Neurospora crassa OR74A: one gene and its partner. The protein of the gene in region 2 purifies or fractionates together with the protein of the main gene of each other region. This does not show direct contact. Links are inferred from orthologs where the notes say so. Each region holds a gene or a part of one and is shown on either strand. Other genes may lie near its edges.

Region 1 (5,291 bases), about 2.2 Mb from region 2:
CAAAGCAACGGTGAGTTGTTACAGGCAGAGATACCACTGGCGGCGTTGCTCGTTGACGGTGATGCTGTTGTTGCTTGAGAGACGGCTACGCCTGCCGTTGATACCGAGGCTGCCGATACCGCGCTTACGATCCCACTCTCGGCTCCAGATGGTCCCTGTGGAATGGCGCAAATTCCAGAGACCAGTAATAGCGCCGTTGCCAGAGATGAGATGAGTGATGGCATTATTGTTACTTTCAGATTGACCCCCGTGGAGGAGTTGCGGTGATTGGGATCGTGGGAAAGGGTCTCGGCTCTCTGTCCCCGAGCCTGGTATCGAGTGTAATGAGCAAACGACTAGAACTGAACTCCCAAAAATGCCGTGAGTGTTGAAGAGTCTAAGGAAAAGAAATATCGAAAGGAGTAGAAAGAGAATGTCAAGCAGAAGAATGCAAGTTTTCCGCAATCGTTTTCGGCCTCGCCTCATCCACCGACTTTCCTCTCTTTCTGCACTAGAGAAAGACTGCTCTTCGAACGGATCTGCATGGGTACGCATGTGCATTCACCTTTACCCAATGGGTTGGGATCCGCTAATGAGTTGAAGATCACCCCACCCCGTCCACGTCTTTGCGACGACAAGGAGGCTCTGTTTCCCAAAAAAAGAGAGAGGGAAAAAAAGACTTCCTCTCACAAGTCAACTTCAGCGTTATGAAACAACCTTGTGCTGTAACTTGACAAGGAGGCGTGCTGCGCCTCGCTTTGATGTAGTCAGTCAGCCCGCTTATCTGTAAATGATCGAGCAATTACCCCCAATCTTCGCCCTTTTAGACTCGCAGATTCACAGCGTGCGCGGCTCATACAAAGGCCCCGGACTGAGGCCGAAATGAGGTGAGGCTGCGTCTCATGAAGTATGTAGAACGGAGTTCCCAATCTGGAGATATGTGTACGTACCGCCAACTTTGTGTTTGTGACTCAGGGGTAACTATGCAGGAGTGTATCGCAGATTCTGATTGGCTATTGGCGACCCAGAAAAGGGTCTCCCCAGCGACGGCACTGAGGGGTCCCATGGTTTTCCCGATCAGGTACAGACGAGTATAAGCCTCTCAAACACCCTCGAAACACCAGGGACACCACTCCTTGATTCTCTCTCTCAGGTACTCTTCACTAAGGAATTCCGTAGAACCATTAACATCGTATCTAGCCATACCAGAGGTTGTGAACTTGCGAGCACCTTGCTGGGCAGCTGCGTCAGCTCAACAAAGAAAACGTAAGCTTGTGGAGAAAGAGGCTGCTTGCTCTCGCTTGGGGGATTTCAAGATGAACGAATAAAACACCCACGCAAGTCTTGACCATGTTGATGCTCTATTTGATCAAGATTAGTATCTGATTGCGTGGCCATTGTGTTGCTTACGGACAGAACCAAGGCGATCAACTAACAATCCCGTGAACTTGGGAGTGATGCTAAATCTGATATGCCAGCCATAACTCAGTAACAGAAACTCGACTGAAGGATGATACAGCCGACTACCTGCTTATTGGTCGAAAAGGCGATCCGTACAGTGAATTCTGAAAACAGGGCAGAGCTAACACATGACCTTGATATAGCTTGAAGCCTGGTATGCTCCTATGTTCGTTGCTATGTCCGTCGAAATTACAATGCCTATGTCCTAAACATGTTCCAAGCCAGAACGAAAGGTACGAAGACGGCGTCTTACATTAATCATTCCGGGTCACCAGCGGGCTCATCTGCGTGCTTCTTGGCAGCCTCGATCTCCTTCCACTTTTCCTGGCCCTCTTGTGTAGTGGCGTCAATGATTTCCTCCTCGAGACTCAAAACACCAGCCTAAAGACCTCATGTTAGCAATTCTGTTCTTGCAGCAAATCAACACGGAAGAAAACGACTGTCAACTTACATCTCCAAATTTGCTCACCAACTCCTCAGCCTCCTCAACCTTCATCTTGCCCAGAACCTTGTTCACCTCATCCAACTTGCCCGATTCCAGAGCCTTCTTCATCTCGGGACTAAAGCTTTCAAAGATAGCTCTAGCTTGCTGTACCTCCGGGTCTTCACTGTCAGCTGGAGGAATGTTGATGTTGATCACCGTACCAGGCTCTACCGCATGCAGTTGGATCTGTTCCACTCCCTCTTGGCTGCCACCTTCGGCCTCTTCCTTTGCCCTCTGCAGGTTGATCTCTCTGGCCCTGTTCTTGATCTTGTAAAATGTGTCCTGCACATCCTTGAAGAAGACCTCCTGGGCCTGGTGGCCTTGTGTCGTGATGCGCTTGAAGAATAAAGCGACACCGTCGCGTCCCAAAGCCCGGCAGTATTGCAGCAGGAGTGCTTGGTGGACGCAATTGCGAGCATAGTCGTCACGATTTTGAAGCTGTGCGTCGAAAGCGAGGACGAGCAGACCATCGGTTTCTTTTTCGGTAAGGATTTCTGGGTGTTTCGTAAGGAAGGCGAGGGACTCCCGGTAGTCGTCTGCCTTGATCGAAGCAAATTGTTTGGCGGCAGGAGAAGCCTCAATTTCAGCATCATCGTCATCATCGTTCGTAGTCGTGCTGGGTGCAGGTAGGCTATCGGTGGCGCTGTAGTTCGGGTTTAGAAGTTCGACCTTGGACGCCTCCTTCTTGTCTCCTGAGGTAGAGGCCTTCGCCTTGTTGATGTGCGTGCTGTCAAAGCCCGTGTGGATAGACTCGCTCGTAATTTTGCTCTTGTCAATCTTTTCCAGCTCGTCAAGCTTGTTGAGCAACTCGCCCTGTAGGTTTGTGACTTTCTTGAGGTGCTCCTCCACTTCCGCGATAGTAGCTTCGTATCTCTTGTCTTGCTCGACTTTCTTCTCCTCCAAGGTCTTGTTGACATCGTCAAGAAGCGTGGCCATCATCTTGGTGTACGTAGGCAGGGGTTGTTCTGCATTGTGAACACCGGCAGGCCTTGGTGGGGGCTGGTCATCCTTGGGATCTAGACCAGCGGCCGACTCTATGACAGCCTGGAAGGCCACCTCGCCTGGGTTGCGCGAGCTGACTTCCGAAGCATGGGCCTTGAGAGAGGCAAGTAGGGAGGAGATCCGCTTGATCAGAGTATCATTGATGATTCTTTCGTACTTGAGGGTCTCGATCTGGAGCTTGCGTTGCTGGCGTTCCGCATGAATCTGGTTCTGCTTGGCACGAATGAAAGACCGCTTGTCGACGTTGGGATGAACCTCGACATCAGAGTCATCGCTGAGCTCCAGCGCATCCTGAATCGGCATGTCAGTGCATCTCTCCACGAGTTGCACTCATGGTGGCCAAAAAAAAGGGTAACTTACCCACTTGCTGTAGTCGACCGGCATCCTGACTCTTTGCGGCGAGCAGTAATTCTGACTATTGATTCAGATGTTCGAATTGAAGAAGCGCTTCTGAAATACTTTACTGGCGTGTAGATCGCGAAAGTGAAGCAGTGTCAAAGAATTGTGTTAAATATGGGTAATGATTTGGTTCCAAGCAAGTTGCCATGTACGGAGCAGAGAGCGGAAGAGGAGGGGAGGGGGCCAGCTTGTGTTATGGCGGGGTCCATAACTCCTGACGATATTCAACACTACACCAGAGGAGTGGGGTCATGTAGAAAGACGTAGAAGGCTCCGGTCCATCGCGCACTGCATTATGACTGCATGCCGCCACAGTGTTTGAATAGCAGGAACAGCTATCAACGATCGCTAGAAAATGTAGAAGTAAGGAGAGATATATCCATTCTACCCAAGCCTCAGCTGGCACGAGCTGCTTTGTTTTCTTCTTTTTTTTTTCCAATCGCCCACCGTACCTAGGGGTTGATAGACACGGTAAATATGACATCTTTTCAATTCCTAACATGTTCCGCGTTTACTGCACTTTCAGGGCCCGTGCGCTTGTCCGTGCACAACACCCATGTTCTGCAGTACTGAGCCAGTAACGAAATGAAAATGTAAACAGTTTACCGCATTCAGGAACAAGTCAACAGACCGCCAGTCTAACTATCCATGTAATGATCGATGGTCGAGGAAACCCGTGCATTTCTAAAGCTAGCCAGAATCGGGTTATCCTGTTTTACATCCTAAGATATAGAATGTGGTCACCTACCGAGTCATATGAGGGTAACAATGGAAAGATATCTTTTCTATTTCGCTATGGTAAATTTCCACCTTTGATATTCCAACTTGAAACCCTAACCCAGCTTCCGCAATCTCTCCTTGTACATACGACACTTCAAGTTCCTTTCTTCCTTCTGAGCCTCTACACAAGCCACTGTGTCATCCGAGGCTTGATCTGTCAAACAAGCTACCCCTACTAGCATTGTTGAGTTTGATTGCGGGACGGCCACCCTTGAAGCAGGAAAAAAAAAAAGAAACAAAAAGGACGAAAAGGAAACAAAAGAATCTGGACAAAGGCCGTTATATGTGTTGTGGATAGTCGAAAACACCTGAGCAAGGTGTCAAGGTATTGGGATGTAACTTCGAACTCAGAGCATATAGGCAGAGAACGTGCTGGACGTCGAACATGATTTCAGAAATGGACTGTGATGGACATGTTTCGTTTTCCATTCCTATAACCACTCGCTTGAATCCATTCACATGGGGACACGACGTGGATGAGACGGTCATTCATTGCAACACTTGTCTGCTTTTGGTCCGAACATAAAAAAAGAAATGCCAGTTTATTATAGATATAGGCATGCAAAGCGTACCTGTAAGCGCAAACAGTACTGCAAATCATATCACATGATCTTGCTCCGGGAGTTTCGAATGAAGATGTACATCGGATTTCTTCCAGGCATATAATTTCTCTCTCCGTGCTTATTTACGACCGGCAACAAACATCATGTGAACATGTTAGCCACCCCTAATTTTCTCCCTTATCAGGGGCCCTCCCAACTACTTGATTGAGCCGCGGCCTCGTTAGTATCAGTCATTCACAGTTTCCGTGCCTTGAGGGGCTACCAAGACTCTAGGTTATCCTGGAATCAGTACTCTTCTCCGTCGGAATCAATGAACCGGATATCAACATCTCCATCAAAGGCTCGCTTGGCTGCCTTACGAATGCGTATGTACTCTCTCTGTCCAATCGAAGTGCCTTGCTGGAACGCCGCGCCGAATTCAAACCCCTGATGGTCATGGTCGGGGGTTTCTTCCATCTTTTGGAAGAATTTCAGGATCCCCGAGGCCGTGAAGGCCGAGTCACCTGTGACGTATACTTCCTTAAGGCGCGGAAGGTTTGCAAGTGGCATGATGTGCGCATCATGGACCAGACTCCCGCTGAAGCTGATTTTTTCCAACTTCAAAGCCCCTTCGCTGATTATGC
Region 2 (3,556 bases):
TGAAAAGTCAAAGGGTTGTTATCATGGAGCGTCGATGTTTTACATCACATCATATCTTCTTGGTCCGAAGAATGATTGAACCCTTCTACTTTCAACGAGTTGGCAGTTAAATAGGTACCTACATGCAGTAGTAGAGGTAGTGTTCAAGAAAAGGATGAATGAGATACCCGTTATATACGAGCACCTTGACGGTCACCTACCTACCTAGGTACCTAGTTTACAGCAGCACACGCGGCGGATAGGGCCTTCAATCAAGTTCCGCTCTTTCGCATCGATGTTGTCTTCTCCTTGCTTGCATACCTTAAGAAAGGAACGTCTACAGTACTAAGCTTGAAGCTTCGTTACTTCGTTCCTTTCCTTACCAACTAAAGCCGTGAAGTGAACCAATTGCATAAGAGCCGGCGGGACCTATAAAAAGCATTTCGTATGGCTACCTACCGAGCTTCTTCCTCAGTTTGAAACGGCTTGAAGCCAAAGCACAGTGGACTAGCTGTTGAGTCCAGTTTTCATGTGAAACTTCATCGAAGCCATCCATTTTTCTAGAAGCTGCTCGGCTATGACTATTAAAAAAGCTTCCGCAGCAGTGAGTTGATCTTCTGGGCCACCTACCCGCATTGATGGTTTGGCGTCCACTCGAGAGTTCACGCCTATGAATGAATGACTGCCGTGTGAGGAAGGTTTTAACAGAGGAAATATCGACTTCCGTCGTCACAAAGAAGGGTCGAACCAAAGTCTGTAACGGCTCCAAAGGAGGTGTGCTCTTCTAATATTCCCAAATGAGCCTATAGAATGCCAGGCTTGTAGGAGGTACAGTAGACAGACCGAGTCACTACCGCCCACAACATACACAGACAGGTACCATACTCTTGCTTAAAGCCAGAGGATTGAAAGTCACCGAAAGGGTCATCTCAGGAAGTCAGGTACTTGAACTTTAAACACTTTCTTTTCAGTCACTATCGCTCTCTTCCTCCTCCCCTTTCACGACTGCATACCGCTCTCCCTTCCTCGCCCCACCATACCCAGCCCTCCCAGTTCCAATAAGTTTCCTCCTCGTCCTTCCATCCCATCATCATGTTAATCGGTTCTGACTCGTCCATCACATCGTTGAAATATTCCCAGTTCCTATCCCCGTCTTCTTTACACCTTCCTGCCGCCATGTTGGTAGTAGGTAGGTATTGTATATGAGAAAAAAAAATGAATGGAGTTTAAAAGGAAAACTTAACATGGAAATGAAAAATGACCGGAAAAATCACAAAAATGTCCCTATCCCCGTCCCAACAAAACAAGATGCCATCCGTCGGTAGTATTTGTCTCGGAAAAAGTGCCATTTTTTGCCTGCCCTGTCCTGCCCGGCGCCAGCCAGCCAGCCTGCTGAGTGAGCAACATCAAATCAAAAACAAAAAGAGGTAATCAAAACAAGAACTTGGGGAAAAGAAAGGAAGTAGTCATAGTCGTTTTCAGACAGACCACATTTGACAGACACCAGCGTAAAACAGACAGCGTGACAGACAGACAAACCTCACAGATGAGTAGCAACACATACACATGTTTTTTGTCACTACAATTCAAGCCCTGATTAAATCCTCCTCTTATGTCAATTTCTGACATACGAAAACTCTCACACTTTATTGGAAGACTCCTATGTCCCGGGCACAGGCGTCAAGAACGGGCTCAACATCAGCTCATCTGCGCTCGGCCGCTTATTATGATCAATCTCGAATGTCTGCGCAAGGAACTGCTTAGCCTCCTCGCTAGCGTTATCCGGGATCGTCGGCGAGGCCTTGGAGCCGCCAATCTTGAAGATGGCCTGCAACTGGGTGCAATCGGGAAACGGGTGGGTACCCGTCATCATCTCGACCACCAGGCAGCCGAGTGACCAGATGTCGGCTTTGCGGGTGTAACTGGTTTGTTTGACTACCTCAGGAGCCATCCAGAAGACGGAGCCTTGCAGTGAGGGACGGTGCTTGTTGTTGTTGGCGCCGTTGAGGATGTTGGTGGCTTCGAGTTTCTTGGAGATGCCGAAATCGGAGATTTTGATGGTACCTTTGTTGTCGACAAGGATGTTGGCGCCCTTGATGTCGCGGTGAATGATGTCACGGTTGTGGAGGTAGGAGAGGCCCTGGAGGATTTGGCGAACGAAGCTGCGAACGAGTGATTCAGGGAGGGCACCGTATTGGTTGAGCATGGTCTGCACGGAACCACCGGGAACGTATTCGAGGAAAATGTTGAGATATTCCGCGGATGAGCTGCAGCCCAGGTACTGCACGATATTGGGATGTTGGAGGTCACGAAGGAGGGTGATCTCGCGCTTGAGCGCTTCAATCATGCTCTTCTTGCGGGCATCGTTCTTACTGTCTGCACCAGGCGCAGGTGTCTCGACCTGCTTCACGGCGAGCAGTTCACCAGTGATGGCATGTAGGGCGAGGTACACGGAGCCAAATGAACCCTGGCCGATAAGAGAACCCTTCATCCACATACTGTCGTCCCAAGCGTCGCCCGCCAGAAAAGTTTGAAGCTCCTTGTCAGCTGCATCCTCGCCATCTTCAGCAAGTGCTTCCTGTATTACCGCGGAATCGGCCGAGTTGTTGGTGCCGCTGTCGTAGTAACTGTGTCTGACTATGTTACCATCGGGATCAATGACGCTAACTGCAGCTGTATCCGAGCCGCTGTCCGAAAATGGAACGAATGATCTCCGGTTAGGCTCGGTTGGGGAGCCTTCTTCTTGTAGCGTATCAAGCACGGATGAAGCCACAGAATCTCTATACCCGTGAGGCGCCCTTGGCAGCACATCACGCGGGCGTACCTTGGCAATCTGGTTGGAAGCGGTCAACCAGCTGTCTGCGATGGTAGGGATCGGCGGAGCGTCTTGTATGCTAGAGGCAAAGCTAAGGGTGCTGGCAACACTCAGACGATGGTTCACTCTACTCAGACGTGCCGAGCGTCTCATGGACAAACGGGCCGTCCTGTCAATAGCTTCACGAGAGTGATCTGGAAAGTAGCTCGTAAGATCCGAGGCGATAAGCTCGCTAGGCGGTCTCAGCCCACCGAACTGACGAAGTGCTTGTGTACGGCGAGGCATGGCCCTGGGGGTTTCCAGAGGTGCTGGCCGCTCTAGATCCCTAGCAGCGTTTGAGACGTTTCTTTCTCGGTCCTGATAGGACATGGGAGACAGCGGAGGCTGTTGTTGGAGGTCTTCCCAGCCCACTCCCAGCACCTTTTGCAGCTTCAGCTGACTCCGCTTATCGCTGGGCTCAATTGGAGGCCTATGTGTTTGCTGTGCTTCCTCCATCGCAATGGCAGCTGCTCTTTCGAGTTCTGCCTTGCCCGGCTCTCCAGAAGGAACACGCCTGAGAATCAGGCGGTTGCGCTCTGGGCGAGTGTGGTCCTTGATGACTCTCCACAGCTCCGTATCCCCGAGGCGGCGGCATTGGTTTGGGTCCGGATCAACGCCGGCCAGTACCCAGAAACAGTAATTCCTTTCATGGTCCTCCCGCAGGCCAAACTTACGTAGGGTAACACGCATAACCTCTTCACAGGTGTTGCAGTCGGCAATCTT

Evidence for each region. The genes of interacting proteins can lie anywhere in the genome.
Region 1: the proteins of nrc-1 (region 2) and NCU00472 purify together in Saccharomyces cerevisiae (affinity purification with western blotting, with the first as the bait; 3 studies listed by BioGRID). This does not show direct contact. The link is inferred for Neurospora crassa OR74A from reciprocal best matches to the Saccharomyces cerevisiae genes STE11 and CDC37.

Annotation. Positions count from the first base shown.
Region 1 is NC_026503.1:3,975,423-3,980,713, reverse strand, and holds NCU00472 (CDC37), read right to left. Parts: upstream 3,659-5,291; 5' UTR 3,311-3,658; coding exon 3,287-3,310; intron 3,218-3,286; coding exon 1,892-3,217; intron 1,822-1,891; coding exon 1,699-1,821; 3' UTR 1,275-1,698; intron 1,214-1,274; 3' UTR 970-1,213; downstream 1-969. Other genes in the region: NCU00473 (hypothetical protein), read right to left, coding at 1-224; NCU00471 (hypothetical protein), read right to left, coding at 4,954-5,291. UniProt on the Saccharomyces cerevisiae protein: Co-chaperone that binds to numerous kinases and promotes their interaction with the Hsp90 complex, resulting in stabilization and promotion of their activity.
Region 2 is NC_026503.1:1,806,097-1,809,652, reverse strand, and holds the end of nrc-1 (MAPKK kinase), read right to left. Parts: coding exon 1,640-3,556; 3' UTR 920-1,639; downstream 1-919. UniProt on the Saccharomyces cerevisiae protein: Serine/threonine protein kinase required for cell-type-specific transcription and signal transduction in yeast. It is thought that it phosphorylates the STE7 protein kinase which itself, phosphorylates the FUS3 and or KSS1 kinases.